2 linked regions of the Bombyx mori genome follow. The protein of the gene in region 1 purifies or fractionates together with the protein of each later gene. This does not show direct contact. Links are inferred from orthologs where the notes say so. Each region holds a gene or a part of one and is shown on either strand. Other genes may lie near its edges. The genes, in order: enhancer of mRNA-decapping protein 4 and mRNA-decapping enzyme 1B.

Evidence for each region.
Region 2: the proteins of enhancer of mRNA-decapping protein 4 (region 1) and mRNA-decapping enzyme 1B purify together in Drosophila melanogaster (affinity purification with western blotting; 4 studies listed by BioGRID). This does not show direct contact. The link is inferred for Bombyx mori from reciprocal best matches to the Drosophila melanogaster genes Ge-1 and DCP1.

What each region holds. Positions count from the first base shown.
Region 1 is NC_085110.1:1,251,832-1,255,706, forward strand, and holds the start of enhancer of mRNA-decapping protein 4, read left to right. Parts: upstream 1-754; 5' UTR 755-870; intron 871-1,073; 5' UTR 1,074-1,300; coding exon 1,301-1,350; intron 1,351-2,051; coding exon 2,052-2,257; intron 2,258-3,448; coding exon 3,449-3,555; intron 3,556-3,875. Other genes in the region: calcium channel flower, read right to left, coding at 408-528, 614-616. UniProt on the Drosophila melanogaster protein: In the process of mRNA degradation, seems to play a role in mRNA decapping. Required for silencing a subset of endogenous miRNA targets.
Region 2 is NC_085114.1:2,052,425-2,056,359, forward strand, and holds the start of mRNA-decapping enzyme 1B, read left to right. Parts: upstream 1-1,520; 5' UTR 1,521-2,139; coding exon 2,140-3,153; intron 3,154-3,228; coding exon 3,229-3,426; 3' UTR 3,427-3,935.

The sequences.
Region 1 (3,875 bases):
CAATAAACTTTTATTATTCATTATATGAATCATTACATTTTTTTTCTATAATCTAATTTCATCCAAGCATAATTTCAATTCATTTATCAGTTATAAGGAAAATAATAATAATTTGAAGCAAGGAAAACAGTATGATTTGAAAAACTGATCTATTATACTCAATTAAGAAATGGTATGTGAAAGTGTCGTAATTAAAAGTGTACTTGGTATTTGAGTTGGATTCTTCCATTATTATTATTGGTTGATTATTAGAATAAAAAATATACATATCTAAAATGTAGTGGACATAACATAATTCCATTTCAGTGTCTTTGTTAATTCTAATCTAAGCCTTGAGTTTAGTCATTTCGAAGATTTCATTGTGGTACTTTTTGAACTTGATCATAGTGACAAATAAGAATACTAACTGAAGCTGCCAACTGTTCCAAGACCCCGTCCAGCATATCGCATCCAAGTAGGAACGTCATCTTTCTGGGCATTGTCACCCCCCGGACGCGACATGAGCATCGATATCTTGTCCGTTAACGACTACAACATAAAAACAAGTCATAAGTTTACCTTTTGAAGATTTGTATAATAAATTTATAATTTATTTACGAATAAATATCCTCACCATTTTTGTGAAAATCAATTCAACCTGCCAATACCACCTGCGCTGTCAACGAAACCATAGATTATACACTTAATATATAACGAAACTGTTATCTCACACTCTGACACTGACAACATAGACTAATGCTGACAGTGACACAATGGAAGTGAATTATACAAAGCTCAAATAAACATTTGCATGTCCATTCGTGTGAGAAAATGAATTATAGCCGTTAGATGTGGCTTCTCGAGTTCTTTCAAAAGTCTACTGAAATTTCAGTGAGTCGCCATCCTTTTAATGCTACATTAATTCATTTTATCTCATTTCGTTTTACTCCATTGGGTTCATTCAAATACATTGCAACCTGATTACTGTTCCAGAAAATTCATTTCATTTCATTCTTCACACAACACAGTCTAACTTTATGTGTGTAAATAATAATATTATTCACAGTTAATACTAATAATAATGCTGTTCACAGTTAATCGAGAAGATAACAAGATAGGTAATAATTGAAGAAATGAAAGTGACAGTGATCCCTGGCAACACTGAAAACAATTGTCAATTCAACAATTTTTGCAATTTGTCAATGCACAGGTTCTGCGATTTGCGGTTTGCATTCTTCAAATCTGCATAATTTTTGCGATTACAGTATTAATTCAGTTTCTACTAAGGAATTCATGTGGAAAACTGAAAAATAGACGTAAAATGCAACCACCAACCATGTTACCTAAGCTTTCAGATACAACTCAGACGATGTGAGTAATCTAAAGTTGTAATGCTCTTATAATTTAATGCCTGCAGTATTGAAACAACGATGTTCTTGTATTTCATTAACTTTATAAGTATAAATGTCGATTACACACACAATTCACGTAATTATAACCTATAGCGGGATCGCGTCATGTTCTAAAATATTCTGGAAGTGTAAAAGTCGTCTCAGTCATTCTCTTAACATAGCTGGAGAGCATCTGATATTATTGGTTGATGAAACTCACATTTACTGAGTTCGGTTTAAAAGTGCAACTGACTGCAACTGCTTCCTCATCTGTTTCTATTGGACGCTACGGTGCCGCGATGCTATCGTCGCTGAATCTACAGCCCGTACCTTAATTTTGCTAACTATAGGTTTATTAATTTAATGCTAGTTACGAACATCAAACAATGAAAACAATACAAAATTCATCACTTCATAGTCAATAAAATATTTGAAAGTTTTGTAATTATTATCTTCAACTGGTATTCAATTAATATTAAATATGTATTATATATAATAATATAAATAATTAAGACCTATTTCTGGTGATACTACAGTGTCCTGGCTTCTTCAGGCTTACCTTGTTGATTGTGTAGCGGCACACCTATGTTGACAAAATAAAATTAAAATCTAAGAATAAAAATGTTTTAAATGAATATTGGCAAATCAAAGTTATAGAATCTATAACTTTAAATCTTCTAGAGCATTTGCTGAAGGAGATGGTATGAGCTGTATAGAAGTTTACTCTTCGGATGTGGTCGTGACTATCAACACCGGTAACCATGATCATGGTAGCTCAAAAGTGAAGTTGAAGAATCTTGTAGATTATAACTGGGAGCCCAAGTTTTATCCTGGGCAGCTTCTAGCCATTCACATCAGTGGAAAGTACCTGGCATACTCTATTAAAGGTAATTGCTTTGATCATGTTTGTTCTCCAGTAAAGCTTAGTTTTAAGATTACCAGATATTAATAGTCTGTGACATAATGTATTCTGTATTCCTGTTTACCTGGGGCATGTTCTGACATAACATGAATGTTTACATATTATGTAATTAATGTACTTAAATTTAATGAGTACCTTGATTGTGCAGTGTCTCTTTTGATTTGATATATCATAAAGAAGGACTAAGGAAAATAAGTAAGATTGGGTGGTAGCACTCTCTGAGTATCATACTAGCATGCTATGATCACCAACTGACATTTACTGATACAGCTTGTGGAGAACCTACAAAGATAACCAATGTCCTGCCTATTTCTGCCACAAATATATAATGAATAAGTCGCGTGTCTAGTTTTTTTTTTTTTTTTTTTTATTGCTTAGATGGGTGGACGAGCTCACAGCCCACGGGGTGTTAAGTGGTTACTGGAGCCCATGGACATCTACAACGTAAATGCGCCACCCACCTTGAGATATAAGTTCTAAGATCTCAGTATAGTTACAACGGCTGCCCCACCCTTCAAACCGAAACGCATTACTGCTTCACGGCAGAAATAGGCAGGGTGGTGGTACCTACCAGTACGGACTCACAAGAGGTCCTACCACCAGTGAAAAGCTCCCCTATAATACCACTTTTTTGATTATCAATCTGTCTGTTTGTTTAGTTTAGAAATGGCTAAAGCTATAATGATTATCAAACATTAATGTTACATGAATGAAGAATTTACCAATCTGTTATAATTGTACTATTTTTTTGTTTTTATTAAGAAATAATTTTTAATTACCAAATTATAATTTCATTTAATTTAAATTTCTTTCAACACAGTTTTGCTGTTTCTCAATTATTGTTGACCTCTTTTTATTCTTTAGAGGATCGTGTAGTATTTGTAAAACTGTAGATTGCACATGTAGGTTTACGACGAAAGGAAGATCTTTCACCCAGTGGGTGATATTGCAAAGTAGACAAACGATCCGAATGTTGTTGTTTGGAATTTGTATATATGCAAGCTTGTCTTGAATATGTCGTAAGCGAGGTACAGGCATCTGCAAAATATCTTGTGTTGTATGATGGCTACTGGCAGACCACACAGAACATTCAGGATTTTGTCCAGATTTTGTTTTTAAAAGCCAACTAATGTTTGGTTTTAAATTTTATTTACAGCTCCTAATACAGCTAACCCAGGTACTTGCAGTGGTATGGTTAGAGTTGTGTACAACCTTGAACCAGGAACTGATCGTCGTGCTCTCATCAAGGGAATGAAGGGGGAGGTACTTTTTCTAATTATCTTATTCTAGAATTGAATTTGAGGCAGCTTAGCAAATGGAGGGGAAGCGCGCTAGAGGAAGAGCGCCAGCTAGATGGGTGGATCAACTCAAGGAGGTGACTGGAGGCCAGATACAGGGAGTGGTACATATGGCGCAGAACCGAACCGAGTGGAGAAAATTGACATACAGTCATAATCCTCAGCATTGAGGGAACAACCAGAAAAGAAAAGAAAGCAACTTATTCTAAATGAAACGATTACTACATAAATTTGAAAGATAATGCAGGCTATTAAATTGCTCTCTTTTTTGGAATGGACTTTTTA
Region 2 (3,935 bases), on another chromosome or scaffold:
AATAATAGTATCTTACAATGGGAAAGGCTTGTTATTCATTTATTATATTCAGGGTAAGAACTGTAGCGCTAATTTGACGTATATTAGGTACTTCAAATTTTATTTTTATTTCTTTTATTAAGAACATTTAGTTCATTTAGCTAACACACTTGTTTACCAGACACGCGCATAGTTTCGAATGACGTTGACAAATTGACACTACAAATTGACATTTACTTGACATTTCGTTTGAACTTTGATGTTGATGGGGGCCATAGACATTTCGTTTGAACTTTGATGTTGATGGGGGCCATAGACCTATTGATGGGGGCATATAATGTATGTTAGATAGCATCAACCAAATAATAACTCTTTAACGATAATGGTTCTTCTTTAAATCGTGTCAGACTCTCACTCATAGAACAATTAACAGCATTTTAAAATAAGAATTTTTAAGCTGAATCGTCAAAAATCCCGTGCCGTTGAAAACCTCACGTCTGAGCCTTGGATCTGAAGATAAGGCATGGTGTTTCCTACCTGGTGTAAAGTTCTTAACGGGGCAGATAGACATCGTTTATGCATATTCAACAACATAAGTTCGCCGCCCATCTTGAGATATAAGTTCTAAGGTCTCAATATAGTTACAACGGCTGCCCCACCCTTCAAACCGAAACGCATTACTGCTTCCCGGCAGAAATAAGCAGGGCGGTGGTACCTACCCGTGCGGACTCACAAGAGGTCCTACCACCAGTAAAATTTTTATTAGACTTAGGTCAATACATACATATGTTGCTTGTGTTGATTCCATTAGCACGGGGTATACGTTCCATTAAAGTAAAGCGTAATATGAAAGAATAAAGATGCTATCTCATAATGTAAATGATGAGGTCGGGGGAAAATGGGCTGAAAATTGGTCAGGTATTTTACCATTAAATTCTCGTTTGCTCGTCTTGCTCATTTGCCTCTTAGTTGTTATAAAAAAAAAAAATGTTTTTCATAACAATAAAATAAATTATTTCTTGCAAGTATTGAAATGTGATAACGAATATATATTTAAAAATAAATAAAATTCTAAGTCAGCATGTTCACAATTCAGGTCATTCAATCTCTTCTAAATTTCCAATTTTTTCTCTTATGTGTAGGTCCTTAATGTTAAAGTTGCCAAATTACACAGCACCAATTTGAGATCTCGGAAAGTTTAACGCTGTATGCAATTTTGGGAAATTCTACAATTTAAGCAAACCAGCGTTAAGCAGGGTCTTATGCCGGCCACTCACATGCAGGCAAATATTCGTACATTGTACGAATGTTTGTGCGCATGTGAAGGGCCGTCAAACATTCATTCGCAAACTTAGCAGCTGTGCAAATGGGTTCGGTACTCAATTCGCGAACCCGTTTGCGCTTCCTCCTACACTTGTTTACGATTGTCTCACGAATTTCTCTTCCTTTTTAATTCGTCAATAGAACATTGAAGAGAAAAAGAGTTTTGAATTCTTTCCCAGACATCATTAACAGCCATGCTGTTTTTTATGGGATTTCTTTTGATGAAGATACGCTACACTGTAGACGTCACGAACTATGAAAATGGCGATACGTCCGTTACCTTCGCAATCGTCGGCGCAACTGGGCAAACGAATGTGTGGGAGACTACACGAAGGTTCGCGGTTCGCGCGCTTTGATGTCTGTTAAAAAACCGACACAGCTTGGAAAACCACGAATGTAGCGAAAACTTTGCTTAATCATTTGCAAATGTCGTCCTACACTTGCGGGTTTGCGTATTCGTGCGCATGTGAGTGACCGGTGTTACTGTACTAGGTTTGTTTTGTATCAAAGAGTAAATTAAAAGAAAAAACAAAGCAAAAGTATTATTTCAACAAATTTAAGACAATACCCACATTTTTAATAGAATTAAATATTTTGTTTGCTACCTGCATAATATAAAATATGTACATCCTGATTATGTATGTATACTAGTTTTAATTTTTCTATATTCTAGAATTCCTAGTTTTTGCGTACGAATAGTCTACCTGAATCATTAAAAATAATTAAATACATCCAGATTTCAAAACGTAACCAAAATGGCGAAACTGTTCGTTCTTGTCATTTTGCTGTGATGCTTGTTCGCTGATCAAAACTATTTTATTATTAGTAATATAAAAAATGGCTGACACCGGGTTACGTAGTATGAATTTCGCTGCATTAAAGCGGGCAGATCCATATGCTCGTGAAATTGTCGATAGTGCTACCCACGTTGCCCTTTACACATTTGAAGAGAACGAATGGGAGAAAACCAACATTGAGGGTGCTTTGTTTGTGTACAGTAGAAATGGTGAACCATACCACAGTTTAGTGATTATGAACAGGCTGAACACTAACAACCTAATAGAACCAGTGTCTAAAGGAATTGAACTACAGTTAAAGGAGCCGTTTTTACTATATCGTAACGCCAAGTGCCGCATTTACGGTATATGGTTTTATGATAAGGACGAGTGCGTGCGAGTGGCCACGAAGTTGAACACATTAGTGAAAGAGTCCATAAAACAGTCGCAAGGCGAAACCATGCCACAGAATTCAGTTTACAATTCGTCTACAACTTCAACTCAATCTATAGATATCTTCAGCATGTTGAGTAAAGCGCAAGACGATTTCAATTCTAATAAAGGTGTTGCTGGAAACAAATCCGAATCGACGCCGGCCAAAGCGCCTGACATGACGTCGCAAAGTGTAATGGATTTCTTTGCAAAGGCTGGGAGTGGAGCATCGGCTCAAATGCCTGCAGTGTCTTCATTGCCCTCACCAGGGATATTCGGTCCGCGTGCCACTGATTCCAGAGAAGTACCACAGCTTTTACAGAGGCTCATGAGTAACCCTGCACATTCAGTAGAACATATTGAGAAGCAACAGCGATCTGTTACTCCTCAAGAAGGGCAAAGCTCAAATGGTAATTCTACACTAGATTCTGGTATCAAACCAAATTGTATGTTCTCATTAAAGTCAACTCCTTTGGAGAAGCAAAATCAAAGGATACCAGGATTGAAAAAAGCTCTGGATAGTAGTGATGCTAATGGAATAGTCACCATGGAGAATGAACTCAATTTGATGCACTTATCTTCTCCCAAGACAACATCGCCATTAGCTGCATACTTGAATCAATCTCAAGACATAGGACACACGGTAAGTTCTTATTATGGTAGCAAAGTGGAGGATGTTGGACATTCTTATCCTAAGATTGACTCTGTAACTACTCAGCAGAAACCGGCGCTGATGCCCCCCACAATGTTCACTGCAAGTTCAGGTGGTGATGTCCAGCCATCACCGCAGCCACTCACCAGGAATCAACTCCTTCAGGCCTTTAATTACTTACTCAAACATGATGCAGATTTTGTGAATAAACTTCACGAAGCCTATGTCAAATCGTTTTCAGAAAAAGCATTTTCTGTGTCATAAGATAATCTTTTATGACTGTGGCTGATGTTGCCAGCCATTATTATGATGTACAGTTGTAATATGAAGCATAATCTCTTTAAAAATGTTGTGTAGAACTTGTTGTTTTTTAGTGACTTACCATTTGGACAGAGTATTTTAAATAAGTTTAAAAATATGCAAACCAGTTGTCACTTAATTTTATATAGTGGATGAATTTTAGTGACTCCAGATGAGTGATATTCAGTCAGGTCTTTAATGACACAAATGTTTGTGATATTTTTAGTTACAAGCTAATTGGCTTCAGCTTGATGTTCTGTAAAATCAAACTCATCCAACATCCAGTTACTGTTCTTACACATCCATCATACTTTTAATGTTCTTCTTATCACAAAAAAACGGACAATACATAACAAAGTATACACTTTTCTAAAATATATTAAATCTCGTAGAGATATTCAGCTTTACGTGTTGTTGCAATTGTAATTTTCAAAATATAAGAGACTTGCCAAGCTGCAACATTACTTGATAGG